Linked DNA regions of Neodiprion lecontei. Each later gene encodes a partner of the first gene's protein in a complex. Links are inferred from orthologs where the notes say so. Each region holds a gene or a part of one and is shown on either strand. Other genes may lie near its edges.

Region 1 (5,157 bases):
GAACAAGAATTTGTTTGACTCATGAAAACTCGAGAAGTAAACGATGAATGACAAAATTTAATTTCAACTTTAAGGCTATGCGAGAAAATTCGTGCAAAGTAAGTAAACATTCACCCATGAAGATTGTTTCCATTCGCAGGACTCCACTTGCACCAAATATCTGGATTTTTTCTCATTGTTCCATCCCCGCTGCAAGGTACATCAGCAAGAATTCTATCAAACCTGAATGGAATCGAAAAGTGTATTACTCAGATATGCTATTGGAAAGGTATTTCTGAGACAAGTCTATTTACTTTAACTTTTCTGTCGTGCCATCTGGTTTGGCAACATTGAAATTAGGCATTACTGACGAGTCGTGATTTGTAATCAGAATATTTGGGCTGTTCAATCTCTTAGCTTGATGTACCAACATGTAGCACCTGTTGTTGTCCACGTCATTGGCAATTACAAATCCCTCTGTTGACAAGGGACACATGGATAACATTGTAAAAAGTATTAAATTCCACAACTAGCGGTGACAATAGAAATTCAAGAAAAGTAGCAAAACTATTGGTTAATGGAAGGAAAAAAAAAGGCAAAAATGATAAAGCCGACTTGCTACTATTCCTAAAATGACTTGATCTCATTGTGTATAAGCATATATTCACCAGGATGTGGGTTGCTCTCATCAGAATGTATCATTTCAATTAACTGAGCTGTCTTTGAACCTGGTGCAGCACACATGTCGAGAACCTGAAAGATTGCAAACGTTTAGAGTTGATTGAAATGCATTCAGCTGAAGGAATTGGTTTACTTCATAAGTGTATCAGCAAATGATGATAAAATCAAACCTTATGTTGAGGTTTGACTTCCAAAACGAGGGGAGGAATCATGCTCACTACTTCTTGGCGACTTATGTTACCGCTAGCTGTTTCAGCAATCAAAAAATTATGTAGCCTAAAGTATGCCTCAGACCTTCGAATGTCCTTACGAGTCAACTGAAGCTGCCAAGCCAAAGAATCTGGATAAAATGGAAGGCATTTTGGATAAAGTTTTTCTTTCTCTTTGACTTCTTCCTCTTCATTTTCTCGTTTTATATTGATGATCTCATTGAAAAAATCCCCTTTAATTATATCAAGCAGTGCCTTCGTTTCTGCCTTGGAACCAGTTATTCGAAAGGCGGCCGGCAGGTTTTCCCGCATCTTGTTCATAAAAATGTACCATTCTTCGCTAGGAACGATATTTTGGGTTTTGTAATAATTTTCAAAATCAACATTCTCCCTGATTATTTCTTCATAGCATCTCTGCGGCCTTTTATCCCATTCATCTTTGTTCTGCAACAAGTTGATTTAGCTCGTTATAATCTATTTCGAAAATCCATCTGTCACAGCGATTGTAAGTTGCTGTTGGGTAAAAAATGTACAGCTTCCAGAGAAAAGAATTGTCATGTCAAATATTCAATAAAAATTAATTCTAATAGCAACATGCTTGCGGAGGGTAGAAGGATGAATTTTAGTGACATTTGCGGAATTCAATATCGAAATACCGTAAACTTAACCTCCAAATCAAATCAGAAACCGCATCAGTTCTGAAAAATTTTTTACCTTCTGTTTATCGCGGCGTTTTTCAGCAAAATTCTTCTTTGGCCTATATTTTCTACCTTTACCCATTATCACTTGAAATTACTGAAATATACTGCAAGGCCTACCGACTCGCATTAAACCACAGATTCCTATAAGTTGTCTGTGATACGCTGTATTAATGTCACGTGTAAACGGAAACCGCGCGGACACGATCACAGTCACCGATCTCTATTAGTATAGAGTTGTAATCACAGCTTAAACTACCGGGGCCACTAATCGTGAATGCGAGCGATGCGAGTAATGAGAGTACCAATTTGCGTATTCAGCGGTGACGATTTTGGCCACGCTGTTTAAAATCAGTACTCATTGCAGTCGAGTTCGATCTTCTAAACCGTTCAGTAGGTAGTTGGAGGATAGGGAATCTGTGCTATGGTTCGCAACCAGTCATGACTGAACCGTCTTTGAGGAAACAAGGTGTGTTCTTGCGCATCTATTGTCGTTTCGGCTATTGAAAATGTGCCCCCCCACATGACGTCATTTATATCTAACTATAATTATCTGGCGTCATGCAGGGGCTATCACGTGACCTTGCTACTGCGCATCTCTGTTTAAAGCACACGAAGCACACCAAAGAGCACACCGTGTTTCCTTATTTCATAATCAGTGGCGGTTTCGCCTATCGCCGGACGCCGAGACTGGCATTTAAACATAGGCTATGGCCCGAATTATTAAGTTCTTTAAAATTATAAGAAATAATTGGAAAAAATCCACCTTCGCTCTAGCTGCGATATCGTATGGTGGGTCCTATGGCATAGAGTCTTATAAGTGAGTACTTCCTTGCCTGTCAAGCTGGAAGTTATTTCTACCAAACAAACATAACCTTAACGGATTAACCTCTCGATGCTGTTGAAATTAAAATTTCAGCAAAGAGCAGTTGATGCGAAGGTATTGCGAGGATGCGGTCAGATATGGAGATATGCCACTGCCGGTAAATTTAAAACCGCGACACGTTACTGTCATTTTAAATCCAGCGGCTAACAAAAGGTATGTTCAAATTCTATGGTCATATGATTGGTGTGTCAGCGACAAGATTATTTTGATTACTACTAAAGTTTCATGGAAGCACTTCATATAAAATATTTTACTGATCCAGCGATATATAACAACTGCTCCAGATTTCTGGAACCGATATGTAATCATCGTTACCATTTGACGCTGTTGATCTAGAAAAGCAAAGGATTTGTTAGAAAAGTATTGCGCACCACTGCTACACCTTGCTGGAATAGCTGTAACGATCATTCAAACTGAATCTGAGGGCCAAGCACGAAGTATAGTTGAGAATTTGAATTCTCATACAGATGCCATAGTTGTAGCAGGTGGCGATGGGTCATTGTCGGATGTCGTTACTGGGGTGATGCGAAGGTGCAACACCGATGTCGAGATAGTCAAGCAATGCCCAATTGGCATTTTACCTCTCGGGCAGACCAACAATGTCGCAAAATCACTGTTTAATGGATACACAGATTTGCCACAGATACACGCTATGGCTGAAGCTACCATGGCTGTTGTCAGAGGCACTACTAAATTAGTTGATACTATCGAAATTGAGCCTCTTGAGGTAATTAATTAGACCGATCATAGGTCACTTGGTGTTTGCTAATTTTTCATTTTGCGAATTGTTTCTTTTTTTTTTTATCATCAGACCTTAAACTCGGGTAAATTGTAAGTTTTCACAGTGTTTGCTGTTTGAATTTTAGAACATTTATTCTCAATCTTACAGCAAGACCCTGAGAATATTATCAAACCAGTTTATGCAGTGGGCACTGTGGAGTGGGGTGCATGGAGAGACGCAAATGCTAAAGCCAACAAATACTGGTATTGGGGATCACTTCGTAGGTAAACAGTACAATTTTGGTGTATTGTAAATTTCCTGACATGGCCAAAAGCTTATAAGATGAAAAAGTTGCTTCAGCCATGTATTGATTTGCACCAATTGCTAGAACTTCAGTTACAAGTAATCTAATTGCAGGATCCAGTAATTCGGTTGTAATCAACTCTTATATTACAGATATGCAACTTATGTATTCAATGGTTACAAAAGTGACCTCACCTGGGACTGTAGCGCTGATTTACGATACTCAGAACCATGCAACGGGTGCTCTCGTTGTCGCCACAGCAGGCAGAGTAGTCATTCATCTTCCAGTGACAGACGTTGGTGGCATTCTTTTGTTCCAAGGACGAGGAGTGCATCTTTTGGTAATATCGATAGCAATTGTTCTCTAAAAGTATTCTCAGTACCAATCAGATGCACACTTACATAGTACAATAAAAGATAAGTAAAATTTGGCGTAATTAAAAGTTGATATTCATCAATAAATATCGTTTTTAGAAATCGATTATAGTAAGGTGATAAATGAAAAATGTGGATCTCTTCATGAAATTCCAATAGTCACAACCGAGTTGAAAATGATTACCAGTAATCTGGACTCTCCAACCGATCATAGTGTGCCAGCAATTAAAGTCCATTTAGGTGAGTTAAAGTAGCCATTGAATAGCTAAACCTATCATTCAATCTTCACATCAACAAATCCAAAATATTATAACAATCTTCGATCAATAGGTCCAGAAACCGTGAGCTACTTAGATTTTGTTAAGGAAGGATGGAAGCGAGCAGATGGTCACAAAACTGTCAACAAACAAACCATTGAGGCGAAGGATATTGAATTACGACCTCGTGAAACTGTTTCAAAACCGGTGAGTGAATATTTACATCATATTGTTATCCCTACTCGAACTTCCCTTGTGAATTTTAAAAAAGGGAATCGAGAATTTTAACAACTATGCGAAGTCATGTATTGTATTACATATAGTTTAAACCCTGGAATGTTGACATGTGTTAAACGTGAAATGTTTATTACAGGAACAAAGCAAAATGTTTTCCATAGACAATGAAGAATTTGAATTGAAGCCAATCAGAGTTAAATTACTACCAAAAAGTGTAACAATGTTTTGTGCGCAGCCTATGGATAGTGCAGTAAGCTAGTATAAATAAAGAGCTAACAGTACTTTTTGCGCCTTTCTTTTATCCTTTGCATTTAATACCGATGACGGATCATTTCCATCGGTGATTCTGTAAAAGTCTAAAAAATTTGAATATACACCGCCAACCAAAAGTTTGGGTACACCAGTCGAAATTTCTTGCCGCACTAAAAGTTAAATAGCGGACTCAAAAATAAAGATAATCAAACGTTCCAAACAGCGTTTTAAAGAGGACATATTTACCTTTATGTTTGTTTTTTCGAAAATTATTTACAATTTTTCTTGGATCTGGTACGTATTTTTGAACATGGCCGTATTTCCGCCATTCTTTAGTCTCCAACCAACATTTTCGTTCTTCATAAAGTATCGTATGATTTTTTTTCGCCCAAGTATTGAATTTTCAGCTCAAAAAGTTATGTTTTAGAAAAAAGCTGTAATTCAACAATTAGTGGGTTTCAGAGACAATGGCAAGAGGATAAAAAATTGCATAGGTTTACACTCGAGTAAATTGAACTTTGCCAGCATTTGGGGGGGATTTTAATGGGACTTTGATGAG
Region 2 (6,421 bases), on another chromosome or scaffold:
GAAAAATTATTATCTCCCTCCAACCGTCAGAATTGAATTTCTTACGTATTAATCAAATGGGAATTACAAAATCTCGATGTCGCACCTCTTAAAAAAATCGCACGGCGATTTCCTTTCACGAGGTTCAATATTATGTTATAAACTACGATTTCATGAAGCCGGAGATCGAAAAAAAAAATTGTTTTTTCTTTCTTAGGCAGTCTAATATATACTGTATATATTCTAACTATATCAGTGTATATACTATACATATATATTATAATATATACTATATATACACTGTATATACTATACATATACTATGTATATCCGTGACATATATAATATGCGTGCATATTATATAGAATGTAACTCGTTCGACTTTCAGAATCGCGATATCTCAGAAATGATGATTCTTAGGAAAAAAAAGTATAGAGACCATTTTTGTGGATAATTTTATGATCTACAATTTTGGTTTAAGCTATTTTTTTGATAAAATTAACCGTTAACGAGAAAAATCGAAAAAACCAAAAATTTTGACCTTTGACCTTGAATAACTTTTTTAGCACACATGGTATCGATGGGGAATTTTTTATCTTTCTTTATAATGGTAAACCCAAGGTCTCTACCAAAGTTCAGCTCTGTCGGAATTATTGTGATTCGAAATGTCTAAATTGACCGGACTATTAAATGAAGACCCGAGAGCTTCATATGTATTCCACACGGTATTCACCTTTAATTAGTTAAGTAGTTGAATGTGGTACATTTTATTTACGAAAAAAAAAAATTGAGAAACTTACGTCGATAAGATTAGATAGAATCGTTGGTAGATTCGAAAGTACATGTTAAAATAGGGCCTAGTCATTAAATATTAGGATATTTACTGAAAAATAGAAAATAAAATTCGGCTGAGACAATGACATACTTATACAAGAGTAATATAGATGGGAAAAATGAATTTGAGTACAGAAGTTTTGCAACGTTGATTATCCTGCTTTAATTTTTCACCCAGCTTTACTATTTAATGAATAAAAATATACTACAGCACTCATATGGCAATGGTTGACACGATAAAATTGCGGATATCAACTTTGTAGACAAGAATGCAAATACGTCTGTATTTGTACATAATCAGAACTGAAATTTCGTTTAGAAAAAAATCGTTTATATTTACTTATAATCAGAAAAAGAGAACAAAATCTATTAAAAAAGTACACAATATTGTTTACTGGAGTACGAAACTTGTGATTAGGCCTGTTATATATACATAAGTGTATTTGAATAACTTGTCACTTGACAATATAAGTAGACAATACAAATACAAAATATACTCATATATTTTGGGTAAAAATGCTAATATTGCTGATGAGTATGTGTTGTCAAAAATTAGTCTGCTAACTCCTGTGATTTTTTATATTTTTAATGATTGTTAATTTTTATTTATATACTTTCCATTACCAGTAGGAGTGCTGTATAGGATATTTATATAAAAAATCAAACGCTTATTAAGTTTAATTTTAACACTGCATTACAGGTATGTGAATGCAAATGGGCGAGCTTATAAAAAATATTTTAAGTAATTTCGAGTACTTATAGATTTGCAGGCAAATAATAATTATTTATTATTTTCATAGGCATGTGAAGTTAATTTATTCATTCACATTTTGGCAGGTAAAGAAGTGATTCTAATATCGTGAAACCAATTTGTATATCAATGCCATACACATTAAATTCATTCCTTTAACATGGCAACGCAATTATTCATGAAATACGAGAAATAAATGCTTGAGTGATGGAAATTACAAGTACGTCAAAAGAATAATGTTTCTAAATCATTGAAGCACTCGATATACCTGGTTTTTTAATCGGTCCCCTTTTGTTACATGCAATAGATTCCTATCTGTAATTTACGCGATTTCAATTGAATTTGCTTTGCTAAGAAAAAATGTAAAGTTGCATTCCTAATTACGATTACTTGATGTACAGACTGAAATGTCGCTGATCTCATACACATCACAGGTACATTATGTAGACCATTGCACATATAGTAATTTGTGTAACCACGTCTGCTGTCACATGGGTTTTAAAACTGTTAGTGTTCCACACCAGTATTTGTGACAGCTTTAGATGTGAATCTGTGACAATGTCGAAAAAAAAAAAAAAAAAATGGGGGAAAGTAGTAGTTTCAGAAAGCAGTATGTTATTACGTCAGATCTTAGAGATATTTTGACGTTTGAATTGAACAATCAAAATGATATTTACTACAAGCTTGTGTGAGCATTTTAAAATTTTAAAACACTATTACTTTCAAATGCAACAATATCATTTTGCTTGGTTCATGCTATAATTTTTAGCAAATTGACGACAGAGAACCGTTAAACTTTAAAACAGTGTATTGAGGCAATATATTGTAGTCGTGTTCTGATATTATAACAAAACTGTAATAATATTATTCGTATATATACATATACATACATACCGTATTCTGTATATACACACATTTTCAATAATAAATCAATGCTTATGTAATATGTACGGCCCTGTATTATTATTTAAACTAATTGGCTTATTATTTTTTAACAGTAGGATGGTCAGACTGAAAAATTTCAACTAATTACTTACCTAGAATCACTTGAAAAGTAATGTTATAATATTCAATGTTCCTTGCAAATATGTATTAATTAAGACGAAACTGGTCTTTGCTTTGTTTACATTTTGATTTCCAATCTTAGCAAGATGATATATCACAACTTATGTAGAAAATCTAATAAACTGAATACTTGTACTTTTGCCATTCACTCATTCTCAAAATCTGAAATGCAAAGAACCAGAGAATATGGTAAGAAAAATATGTACATACAATTACACAATGCAAAGGTTGAATGAACAAATTCAGTTTTTATACGTTGAAAATATTTACAGAGTAGTTAACTATGATTACACTCCCAACCGCTGCATACAACAGGAGGAAGACGTATTACATATTGCTTGCAAAACAATCTTGCTGCTACCAGCTTGCTGTAAGAAAGACGTTCCTGAGAGGATATCTGTTTCAAATGACTGCCATTACGAAGCGCATAATAAGGAGAGCCATGAATTGAAAAATGCTGGTCCTTAAGGAATCCTTGAATCATAAAAGACCTGTACCAACAATCAGTATGACAAAGAGGCTCAAAGCAATCTTATTTTGACCCTATTGCCAAACAAGGAACAGCTGAGCAACATAACACACCCTGACAATATTGAAAAGGTGAACAGCATAAAGTAAAATAAATATATCATATTATAAAATAATGTAATATAAAATATTAAATAACATAAAACGAAAGGCTAAATTGTGGGTCAGACCAGTGGCTGACTTTGTCGTAAATTTTGACTAGTTTCTGTGTCTTGGGTGTCTTGCTGCAGTTGTTGCTGCTGTGCCATAGCTGCAGCTTGAGCAGCATTCATTTCTTCTGTCCTTTTATTCATTAAAACAGGTAGTACCTCCATATAGACTTTCATCATTTTGGTATTCGCTTTTACATGCTTCTGGGCACAGTTATTTACACAAGCTTCCTATGGCATTACAAATAAATAGTTATTCTCAATACATGCTGCAAAGATATGTATGTGTAATGAATATACATAATATTGGAAAGCTGCAAGTATTTTTATATGGTGTAAAAAGAACTGAAATCTGAATCTTATCCAAAATTCAGAAAACATTCACCGATCGATCATCTCACCTCATCCACATCCATGTCTCTGGAATTGTATGTATTTGTACATCGTTTGAAGCATGTGTCAGATATTTGATTGTAGAGCGTAAGGAAATCCTTGAACTGCAATAAAAATTATTCAAATAATGTCAATTCTGTGTTATGGTAGAGCGCGATAAGAATTGCTTATGAAGTAAATAGAAGCAGCATTCAATTGATGACAAATTATAACAGAAAATACAAACATTTCTTATCTCCCTTAAATCCATGTTTTGGTGAATAAATTTATCACGGCCTCCACTACTAAATTATGAATTACAAATAATAATGAGTCTTGAGATTTAAATTCATGAACGGAATTCTCGTCATGCAACATAACCTACATACATAACTCACTGTCCTGATTTTCTGCGTGAGCATTTTCAACAAGTAGGAAAAGGAAAGGAGACATAACTCCGTACTCTTTTCGACGGCAAACGTGAGACACATTTGGTTGGAAATTCGTAGTACCGATAACGCCGCGCAGCGCTGGTTTCGTCTGTTGCATGGGAAATTTGAACGCGCTATATGTGTGCACAATTTTTAAATAATATCCCTCTTCCCGTTACGGCTCCGCCCGCTAATATTTTTAAATGCTTTTTGTGGCGAGATTATAAGACATAACCATTGTGAAGCTCATAGAGATTTTTGAAAACTCTTGAGCCTAACTTTCCTCCATATAAGAGTTTAATCAGAGCTTTCACAAGTGTATGATCCCGTTCAGACTTAGCTTACAAATATTGTTATATCTTCAAAACGATCGATCTGGTTGTAACAAAATATGTCTTAAAACCTGGTCAGACGTTGTAGTTATCCACAGAAAAAAGGAATCAAAATCGGGGGAGTTTATAAGCCAATATACGGATAGCAGAGAAATAGAGCGAAGTTGAATTTTACGTATGTATGTATGTACAACAAACAAATATTAAAAATACTAGAAATTTCTGTCTATTACTCACGAAGAACATATTTCTAGATGAATACGCCACTGCAGTTACAAACATACACATGCTAAGTGTTCATGCTAACAACCCGATGAAACATCCAGTGAATCGGAACGACTTGGGCCCTGAAGTTTGCACCTGGATATTCATGACGGCAATTTTTCGTTGAAATAACATTTGTATGTTCCAAAGCACGTAAGAAATTGGAATACAAGGAATTTACAGTAAATATTATTCCGATTTTGTTTTTTCATTATAAGTAATATCTTGCCTGTATGTGGTATTTTTAATGTCCATTCAAGTGTTCAGAATTAGTGCTTCCGATGATCTCTGAGTTAATATTTTCATTCTTAAATTTTGTATATGTACATAAATACTATACATATACATATAATAAGATAAAGCTAAACTTACAAATTGCAACAATAAGTAACGAATAAAATTAGACCACTAAAACTTATTCAGCGAGGGTATAATTAATTATCATTACACATTTTGTACACATTTTTTTGCTAATCTTAGGCCTAGTGTATATGTATATATATATATACACCCACACACAAGACTTTGTGCATGTGATGAACAAACTTGATATACCATAAACTAATGATCCAAAATACGTAGATTTCCGGATACAATTTTATTTTCTAAAATAGTTCCCGAAGGTATGTCGATACGGTCTCCATGATTTGCTATAATAATAACTGTGCCTTTGAGAGAAACTCCTTTTCCAAATGTAACATCGCCGGATACAGTTAGATGATCCAGTTCTAAGAGATCTGGGATTGAGGCAAACCTACGTAGATACTCTTTTACCTGAAAAAATTAATAATAATTAGAATACGTGAAGTGTAATCAGGATTATTGGTTTATCTCTTATAGAATTCCTAAAGTAACAAAGCTTGCAACACGTGCGGAACAAATGAAAAAAATACAATTTTCCGCGAGCATCACAACCTTGCGTCGATTATGGTATTTCAATGCTTCAAGTATTATTCTAATTAGCTAACAATAATCTGGGCACAAACGTCATAAACGTTGGTATTTGTGAATCAATTACGTATTGATTCCTGGTTTTAATAGACTTGTAATTTGTTCCTCACTTTTAGAGAACTGTTAAATTTAAAATATAGCTCACATAGACAGCTATCTTATGAGATAATAATAGCACCTTTGAAAAGTGATTATCGCCAAGTTTGATGAGTGGAGTAGTTGGAAACATCCGCTGGGGACTCATGAGGAGAGCTCCTTTGCGTAAACTGTATAAGTTACTCATCACCAACATGAGATCAGAGGTCTTTTTCACAGGTAAGAATCTGCTACGTGGTACGTTGATGCCTATAGATCAGAGAAAAAAAAAAATTAAAAAATTAGCATTATATGAAAGTAGTCTAAATTTCTATAAAGATTTTTCGAAACAGTTAAGGAATTTGTTTGAAACTTTCAAATGGTTGGCATTTTTTGCTTGGATAGAGTATTTATTACAGAGTTAATGTACAGTTAAGAAATAGTTTAGCATAATTTTATTTGACTGCAAGTATTGGGTGAACTCACCAAGACCTCCATCAAAGGATTTCATAGCTGCACCTACAGCTGTTTCTAGTTGAATAACGTTCAAACCATTACTCAAGCTTTTGTTATTCACAATAATTTCCATGTTGAGTGTTTTTTCTTCTAAGACTCTCTCAATAGCTGCAAGAAATAATGTTCGCAATTGAAACTAGCTAATGAACAATTTCATAAATTCTGAATAGCGTG
Region 3 (4,882 bases), about 8.2 Mb from region 1:
AGTTTCACGAGGTAGGACACCCGGAGTGCAGAAACTACAGAACTCTTGTCCTGGAACTCGAGTTTCATCAGGTGGTACACCTCGAGCGCAGAAACTACGGAGCGCTCGTCCTGGAAGTCGAGTTCTACCAGGTAGCGGACCTGGCGCGCAAAAACTACGTAGCGCTTGTCCCTGAAGTCAAGTTGTACCAGGTAGCCGACCTGGAACGCACAAACTACGAGCGCTAGTCCCTGAAGTCGAATTTCAACAGGTAGCGGACATGAGCGCAGGCACCGCGGAGCGCTTGTCCTGGAACTCGAGTGGCACCAGGAAACGGACCTGGAGCGCAGAAACCACCGAGCGCTTGTCTTGGAAGTCGAGTTTGACCAGGTAGCCGACCCGGAGCGCAGGATCCAGGAGACAGAGAACCCGGTACTCGAAATCTGCTGAGCGCAATTCTCATACGTCCGCTCTACCGCGCGGTTGTTTCCAGACTGAGGAATTCGGCTAGCTGATTTTCGATCGATGACGTCGAGAAAAAAAAATTTTGGGTGACGTCACTTTCTGATCATCCCAACATGCATACTTTGGTTTCGAACTTCAGTACTGTGTATGATGTATGTTGTATAACGTATGGTTCATGATGTACGATGTATGATGTATGGTGTTTGATGTATGATGATATGAGATGATCTATAATGATTTCAGTTTACACATTTTAGACAAGCAATACGCACTTCATTTCTTCTGCTGATTTTAGACTCAAGCGGCTAGGCTCTTTGATGGTCAGCCTTCGACCAAAGATATATTCTTCAATTAACGGGTCAGCTAATAACGCCGCCGTTCTGTAACAGTTGGATGATAGAATCTTTTGCTCGTGCCTTTCAAATGTGTGTTCAAATACACTCGAAACTTGACCAAGCTCCGTTCCATCTCTTTCTATCAACAACAAAAATCGCTGAGAATCACCGTTTTAGGTATTCAAATTAGGACACTGTATTAAATACTGTCTTATATACGGAGGATTCATTTCATCATCAAAATCAGCGCATCCGAGATGCATTACAGTTATTCTGAATTCTTCTCCGTACGAACACTTTTCGAAAACAATTCTGCTTTTCTAGCCAACGTAGATACTTCACTTGCGACTAGCTAAAACAGTGTTTCGATTCTATGCCTACGAAAGCTCAATATTGATACACCAAATGAAAAGTAGTTCGAATTATGAATAACAATGTTATGGAATACACCGAGCGCGTGTCGAATGGAATCTCATTTCGAAATGAATAAGTCTTTTATTCACATATTACAGTCGTATCATTGTAGATAATCTAATTTGTCTCCTGGAAAATTATAAAATTCATAGTATGCACCGCGTAATAATCGTAAATGGATCACATATATCAATATCGCACGTGGACCGTATATACATACATACTTTTTGGTCTCTGCATTATTATTACATCTGACCTATTACTATTTATGATCTATGTATACATTCTCCTCTCGGGTACCTATACTTTAATTAAATCACTGTTTTGCTACAAATTTTGAAAGAAATTTGCACTGATCATTAATTCCTCGTATTGCCAACCAATCAGTAAGTACACACAGGCTACGTACTGGCTTGGGCGTACCATTGCGAAGACTGTGATACTCTGAAGGTGAATGCAGCCAGCATCATGTCGAAATCGGTAACTCTCTGATGTTCTGCAGCAAGTTCTCAACTCTACCGTAGGAACGTCTCAGGGGGCGCAAGCGCATGACGATTTTCGGTTGTCATACCAAAGCCCTCAAAGCCCATTAGGGCAACTGTCTTTATATTCTTCAGTCAACGACCAAACCAAGCCCTAACCTCCAAAATATGTATTTCCGAATTGTAATGTGCCTCACGTAGTTTGACTAATTTCTAAAAGAAGAGTGTTAAATTTCGCATATCCCAGTGCGCAATAATCGCAAAGAGATGTTTTCCTTCAACCCACCCAAGCCGCCACCGACTCCCGAAGGAGATAAGAGAGTATTTATGAATGATCCTGACATGGATAAAATAGCCGTTCATTTGGTCGGCACTCAACAACGTTTCAGAGAGAATATCATTATACCTAGAGTGATGGGTCCCGTCAGGATAAAAACGAACGACGAGAAACTCATGGAGTCTGTCATGGAGAGCTGCATCTTCAAAAGCTTCATGAGTTGCGTTATGGGTATGTAGTTTTTCGTTAGCAATGGTTGCGCTAATCCCGTCACCTGTAGGTAAAATGGAAGATTACTTAGGATTGAAAAATAAAGTGCATATCTTGATCCTGATCTATAAGTGGTCACGCACATGAAGTTTTCCTAATCTCAAGAATACACATCACTGACTCATGATGAATTATGTCGATAGGCTACGGTCTTGGTGCAGCTATCGGTCTATTTTCTTCCAGTGTAAATCCAAACGTTGCTAGCGTAGAAAAACAGCAAACAGCACGTGAAATATTCAAAGAAATGAAGATGACGACACTTGGATATGCCAAAAACTTTGCTGTTGTAGGATGTGTATTCTCAGCCGTTGAATGTACCATAGAAACAGTAAGATTTACGTTATAGCACTAACAATAATTTGACTTATTCTCCAGTTGGTAATTTGATTACTTTTCGGAATGTTATTGTACTCCCTATTTCTACTTGAAAGATCATATATGAATCTGGTTGGAATGGTATAATGACCCTTACTTTTTAGTACAGGGGAAAGTCTGACTGGCGAAACGGCAGTTATGCTGGTGGTGTGACAGGTGGACTTATCGGTCTTAGAGGTAAGTTAGACTGATTTACACCCTTGATCATTGCATATACTCAGATTTTTTTTGATTTTTCTAAGATTGTGATGCCTCAAACCTGTTGTTACACTACAATAAAATTTCACGTTTTAAAATCCAATCGCTCAAACCCAAGTTGGTTTAAAGATTCTCTTATACCTATTCGAAATTAAACATATACTTGAAAAACTACTTCTTTACACATTATTTTCAAATAAAATCTCTCAAAATGCAGAACAAATCTGTCATACATTTGTACAAAATTAGCGAAACTTATAATACACGTATTATAAAATTACAATGTCATTGTCAAACTTAAAACAGTTAAAACTTCGTGATTTATTATTTTACCTAATATTTTTAGCTGGACTGAAAGCGGGTCTTGTTGGTGCTGCGGGTTTTGCAGCATTTTCAACAGCGATAGATTACTATATGCATAAATCTTGAATTTTTTAGACAAAATTAAATTATTTATTGTATAATACTTGTTAACTGTAAATAATATGCAAGAATAGTGTAATAAAAGCTGAATAAGTAATTTTTATGTCAATAATATATATTTTTTTCAAATTAAAATATAGAGAAGATCAAAATTTTACACAGGATAAGACTTAATTATTAGATTAAAATCACTTGGCTTGACGAAGGAGTTGTAAATATCTGTTAATCTATAATAAAATAGTTCATATACATTTTTCTTGCATTAAAATTTCTTACACACTTACGGTATCTACCTACTTAAAGATTTTCAAAATAGTTGACAATTCCTTGATCAAACTTCACTTTCTCAATGCCAATAAAAATGATATTAGGGTAATATGCCTCCTAATAAAGGTGAGGAATAATAAAAGGCTTTCACTTAGAAAATACAATTGTATAAAGCCGAAAAATTCCACTTAAATACAGATGAAAAAAGTATTATATGTAGATCAGTACAGAGTAAATGCGTTGTCACAACGAACAATTAAACCTATTTTATTTATAGAAAATATATACTCTTCTCTCATATTCGAAATTCGCCATTACCTAATACGATTCTAATTGCTTGTTAACATTCAGGAATTTGCAATACCTAAAACTGGCAGTATATTTAATCATAACTTTGATATGAGGAAATTTTGTACGAATTATGAGATTTTTTTAACTTCATATCGCACATACAATATGGAACGTATTTCAACATAGAAAACATAAATATCGCGCGGATATGTGATATTGTTATTAACATTGCAAGCAAAAACTAATGGGTATCTTTATACCTTTAGTATAAGAAATTCACTAATCTTCTTGTCAGGAATGGCTTGATATTGTCATATTTATTCTACCTCGAAAAGTTTTTTTTGAAATTAATTTTCACTAAATAATTATGTAAAAGTGCGGGTTGTGCAGAACAAGTTGGCTAAAATGATACACATTTCGTTTAAAAAAAAAATACTGCAAGGCACTCTTCATATTTCTCTTTACAATGCACACAGATATGTAAGTAACAAATGTTTTTGTGTCTTGGTTATTTTGTTTTTTTGGTTTAGCTTCTATCACTCAATATGCACGTCCCACAGCACATAAACATTCACAATTAAAAAATTATAAACTATGATGAGAAGTAAAAAAATTGTACTACGTCCTATGAATTGGTGGTAAAATAAAATCGATTCTGATTTGGAATTTCGGAATGGCAAATTCCAAAATTAATACCAATTATTGGACCACTCCTTTTTACGAATCAAAATTTAAGACAGTACTGTAGTTTCTTTCGACTTTTGGCACCTGGCAAGATGGAGATTTTATCCTCAAGATGTATTTAAATATTCTTCAATTCTAAGGTTGTTGTTGTTGCATTTGGGCCTGCATTTGAGCCACCATTTCCTGCATGCGTCGTAATTCCGCTTCCTTTTCTTGTAAAATACGGTCTTTTTCGCTCACAGTATTCGTCTTTTCTGACTCTATAATCCTGTGAGTTGAAAATAATTCGGCCAATTATAAAATAATTCAAGCAAAAAAAAATTATAAACCACTAGTGTATAAATATATTGATCATGAAATTCATAGACTTCTCAGGGTCAAACCATTGGGTGACATACGTTTGACGTCTCGGTGGCGCAGGA
Region 4 (3,655 bases), on another chromosome or scaffold:
TCTGTCGAGAGGTGTTTTGAATCACCCGTAATATCTGGTAACACTAAGAGCTCTGGCTCCTTTACCACCAATTTCAGCTCTTTTGAATCGTATGGCACACTTGTACCTCGGAATATCGACAACGTCAACACACTCCACAGCAAGCAAGCAACCGATCTTATAATTGTCAGAATTAATTTTCCAAAGTAGTATATTGGACACCACAGTACGTAGAAAATGCAATTTAGGATGTCCAATAGCTCTACTTTGAGATCTGAAAAAGACAAACTATATTTCCGAAAAGCGAAAAGCTGTAGAGCATTATACTTTTTGAAGGATTTTCCTAACTTTTTTTTTTATTTTCACTACTTGTTGAAATGAAAGAACCTAAGAAATTAACAAGTTATGATAGTTGTCTCTACGTACTGAGAAGTAATGAGAAAAACGGTTTCTCCTTATTTCGATGCTTGCGGTTCTTCTGTTTTTTAAGCAATTCTGAAACAAGAAAAGATAATCATCACTTGGAATTACTATACTTGATGTTTACCAGAGATTAATCTTAAAACCAGAGGTGTATTAATTGGTCTTTATGTGTAATTACCAGTTGGACTTATTTCCAAAGAGGAAACGCGCTGTTTCAAAAGAGCTGCCGGCATTTTTGTCTGAAAAAATTCTTCTCTCATAGATTTTTCAGTCATCCTAGATACCTACAACAAAAAAACATAAACACACCCGTGTATGAAAAACAGACAGAATTAGATGCACAAAGGAATTTCGTGGTCGGAAATTCAATACTTTCACTTAGTTTTGCAGGTAAGTTCTACTTCCATTTTTACCCTGCTTTTTTCCTGTAGCAAGTTCTGAAAATCACATCGAAGCTGAAGAGTGTAAGAGTTAACGCTGAGATTGCTGCGAGAAAATTCATTTTCATGTCCGTTACAATGGTAAAAAGGATCTTGAAGTCCATTGATTCTATCTGTGATAGGCTGAAGTTTTGCGTATCTGCTGCGCACCATGTCTGAAAATAAAAAAAATGAGTCAATGTCTACTCTACTAAGCTATGCATAAAATTGTTCGAGCTGTACGATTCAAAGTTGATTACTTGCACATGTTATTCATGTTGAATTTTCTTCAAATATTGGAAGGGTCGAAACATTCCTAGGCTTCGTTAATTGAGGAATTGAGGAAAAGAAAAATCGTTGAGAAGATTTTAGAAATAAAATAGGGATAAACGCTGTGACATAGAAGACTAGGATAATGTGTCGCAGGTGCTTTAGTTAGAAAATCTAAAGTTATAAATTACCTTTTCCATTAATTCTCTCCATTTTGAAAATTATGTTGATTGAATTGCAGTTAGTCAGAGAAACATGATTGATGAAAATAATCCTTTGTTATTAACACGTAAAATTAAGTCGAGATTGAAATTGATATGACAATTTAAAGTTGAGCAATAATTTGCAATGAATTATGATATGATGACAATTTATTGTTTAACCGTAAGTGTCAAAATCCCATGTATTCAAGAGTGAAGTTAAAATTGAACGTGGGCTCGAAAATAAATGAAGAAAATGAAACAAATAAATAGATCGACTATCGTCCTTGTTCAAAATGTTTAAAGTTAATCCGCGTTCCGCAATGCTTTATGGGAAGTCCCCGCGCTTACCAAACCAGAGCAGACGACTTATTTAATTCACGATAAGAAAGCTAGTAGCCGTATTTTTCCAACTTTACTCAAGCGCGATGCTTTCGCGCCTCGGCTCAATTTATTAATTAATAGGAATTTTTCAACGTCACGTGCTTTGTCATTAACTAAGAACTTATTCTTATTATGGAATTTAAATGAGAGTGACTTTTCAGTGAGCGAAATTCAATCGCCGCACGCTTCGTTGATCAGTAAACTAACTATGGCGGTTCGGATATCCCATTTATTCCGTAATAGATTTAAACAATTTTTTAAAACCTATAGTACAAATTCAGCTGAGATAAGCAAAGCTAAGGATCCTGAAGTGACGGAGCAAGTGAAGGAACGGCTACTAGATCGTTGGGGTAAGAACAGGTCATGTTAATTTTTGTTCGAGGTTAAGTTAGGTTAGGTATTTACAGGTTATATTATATTTATATAAATTTGACGAAGCAATTCACAGAATATAGGGAGATCGGGTGTTAGCTTAGAGTATGCGAACTTGTTCGATAATCATTCGATAATTGTCACCTGTTTTATTTTCATTGTAGCAAAATATTGGAAGAATCTCTTCATTGACTACAGAGATGTGGCTAAGGATGTTGCACAAGGATGTAAGGATCGGCCTATTCGTGCTTCAATCTATTTCTCTCGTAAGTGAAAAATCATATTTCTTAATTTCCCGCAGTGAAACCTGCTGGAATGAGAGACAACTTAGTTTTTTTTTCTTTATCTTTATGATCTTAGATGTATCACTATACTTCTTTGTAAAGGATTCGCAGCTCATAAAAATACATGTTTAAGCCCACTATAGCTGCTCATCATTAGTGCAGATAACACTAATTATTGCAGTGAATCAAACCAAAAATACAAAAGAAAAATATATTTATTTAGAGTCAGAGGAGCCAGTAAATGTTCTGTATTCGGTATGAAATTTTCGTGTGAATTGGTTTATGTTTCAGTTCTAGGCAGTGTATACTACTTTTCACGACACAACCCTAGTCCAGATTCGTACAGAAACATGTTGATAGAAGAATCAAACAAGATGATGATGGTTGGAGAACCAATTCGGAATCGTCAAAGTGTAAGGCATTTGAAATCGATAGAACAGTGCTTCAATGAAGGGATCATACGCAGGTTGAGCTTGGGGATTGTTTCTTTTATATGGTTGGATAACTACGATAAAGAATGTGCTCACTACAAAGCAACATGTTCGTATCTCAAACCACAGTATTTAGGATTTCATCACAGAATAGTTGACATTGGTTTCATGGATAAGTGGTGGCTACTGGAGGACAAAATGACTGATTTTGATATAAATGAAGAGGAATTTAAAAACTTCTCCACTTCGCCAGATAAAATCGGCTCATAATGAGAATATCGAATATTATTGACGGATAAAATTACAAATATTAATTATTATAATAGTATTTATACATATGTACATATAGAAGGTTTATTCATTGAATAAATGTGCCTTCACACACAAGTATGGTAAATTTTTTTAAACTTATATATGCACTATTGATACTTTGGGATCGAAAGCTGGAATTTATTAGAGAATTATATTACAAGATGATGGAAAAAGAACGTGGCGGAATACTGCGCTTGAAAAAGATTCGAATGCTTCGAATTCATTAATTTCTGATAAAGTTGTAAATAATTTACTATTATTGGCCTATTCTGTTAGATCTAATCAAAAACTCGCGTGAAGGTAGTTGAAATGAAAACGTTATTTCAAGATATTTTCAATGAATTGTCCAACTCTCGTCAAAAGTCTCATCTAATTTCATGAACGGTGTAAAAAATCCCAACAGAGTTACCTTCTTATGAGAATATTCATGGTCCATGATCGATTGTGGCAACGGTTGCGCAGCGGGAGATAGAGAGAGGAGAGGAAAGCTGAAGACAAAATAGCTAATGCCGGTTGACAGCCGCAGTGATCCGTGGCTGTTATAAAATTCGGTAAAAGTTCAAGAATTCAAAATCTGGATT

Evidence for each region.
Region 2: acylglycerol kinase, mitochondrial (region 1) and mitochondrial import inner membrane translocase subunit Tim10 B share a complex: the UniProt entries of both Homo sapiens proteins name them as parts of the TIM22 complex. The link is inferred for Neodiprion lecontei from reciprocal best matches to the Homo sapiens genes AGK and TIMM10B.
Region 3: acylglycerol kinase, mitochondrial (region 1) and mitochondrial import inner membrane translocase subunit Tim22 share a complex: the UniProt entries of both Homo sapiens proteins name them as parts of the TIM22 complex. The link is inferred for Neodiprion lecontei from reciprocal best matches to the Homo sapiens genes AGK and TIMM22.
Region 4: the proteins of acylglycerol kinase, mitochondrial (region 1) and mitochondrial import inner membrane translocase subunit Tim29 are in contact, whole or in part, in a cryo-EM structure (PDB 7CGP), measured with the Homo sapiens proteins. The link is inferred for Neodiprion lecontei from reciprocal best matches to the Homo sapiens genes AGK and TIMM29. Residues at the interface, in NP_060708.1 of Homo sapiens: His33, Asn36, Arg39, Arg40, Cys43, Gln44, Gln47, Asn51, Lys82, Pro86, His89, Leu90; in NP_612367.1 of Homo sapiens: Tyr145, Gln146, Cys149, Arg150, Tyr151, Leu152, Gln153, Arg155.

Annotation. Positions count from the first base shown.
Region 1 is NC_060262.1:42,239,667-42,244,823, forward strand, and holds acylglycerol kinase, mitochondrial, read left to right. Parts: upstream 1-1,898; 5' UTR 1,899-2,277; coding exon 2,278-2,387; intron 2,388-2,486; coding exon 2,487-2,606; intron 2,607-2,789; coding exon 2,790-3,180; intron 3,181-3,342; coding exon 3,343-3,458; intron 3,459-3,630; coding exon 3,631-3,818; intron 3,819-3,951; coding exon 3,952-4,092; intron 4,093-4,182; coding exon 4,183-4,316; intron 4,317-4,482; coding exon 4,483-4,605; 3' UTR 4,606-4,627; downstream 4,628-5,157. Other genes in the region: tRNA (cytosine(34)-C(5))-methyltransferase, read right to left, coding at 115-222, 294-456, 648-732, 831-1,313, 1,584-1,649. UniProt on the Homo sapiens protein: Lipid kinase that can phosphorylate both monoacylglycerol and diacylglycerol to form lysophosphatidic acid (LPA) and phosphatidic acid (PA), respectively. Does not phosphorylate sphingosine. Phosphorylates ceramide.
Region 2 is NC_060263.1:26,786,787-26,793,207, reverse strand, and holds mitochondrial import inner membrane translocase subunit Tim10 B, read right to left. Parts: upstream 4,469-6,421; 5' UTR 4,170-4,468; coding exon 4,068-4,169; exon of another isoform or gene 3,950-4,067; coding exon of another isoform or gene 3,926-3,949; intron 3,804-3,925; coding exon 3,708-3,803; intron 3,538-3,707; coding exon 3,322-3,537; 3' UTR 552-3,321; downstream 1-551. Other genes in the region: UTP--glucose-1-phosphate uridylyltransferase, read right to left, coding at 5,267-5,479, 5,835-6,001, 6,218-6,355. UniProt on the Homo sapiens protein: Component of the TIM22 complex, a complex that mediates the import and insertion of multi-pass transmembrane proteins into the mitochondrial inner membrane.
Region 3 is NC_060262.1:34,056,452-34,061,333, reverse strand, and holds mitochondrial import inner membrane translocase subunit Tim22, read left to right. Parts: upstream 1-1,677; 5' UTR 1,678-1,840; coding exon 1,841-1,841; exon of another isoform or gene 1,842-1,922; coding exon 1,923-2,183; intron 2,184-2,365; coding exon 2,366-2,550; intron 2,551-2,701; coding exon 2,702-2,774; intron 2,775-3,141; coding exon 3,142-3,224; 3' UTR 3,225-4,346; downstream 4,347-4,882. Other genes in the region: uncharacterized protein LOC124293463, read right to left, coding at 1-68; septin-1, read right to left, coding at 4,596-4,728, 4,859-4,882. UniProt on the Homo sapiens protein: Essential core component of the TIM22 complex, a complex that mediates the import and insertion of multi-pass transmembrane proteins into the mitochondrial inner membrane. In the TIM22 complex, it constitutes the voltage-activated and signal-gated channel.
Region 4 is NC_060264.1:30,477,098-30,480,752, forward strand, and holds mitochondrial import inner membrane translocase subunit Tim29, read left to right. Parts: upstream 1-1,690; 5' UTR 1,691-1,883; coding exon 1,884-2,025; intron 2,026-2,211; coding exon 2,212-2,313; intron 2,314-2,622; coding exon 2,623-3,032; 3' UTR 3,033-3,149; downstream 3,150-3,655. Other genes in the region: uncharacterized protein LOC124294430, read right to left, coding at 1-253, 406-474, 581-686, 816-997, 1,283-1,304. UniProt on the Homo sapiens protein: Component of the TIM22 complex, a complex that mediates the import and insertion of multi-pass transmembrane proteins into the mitochondrial inner membrane.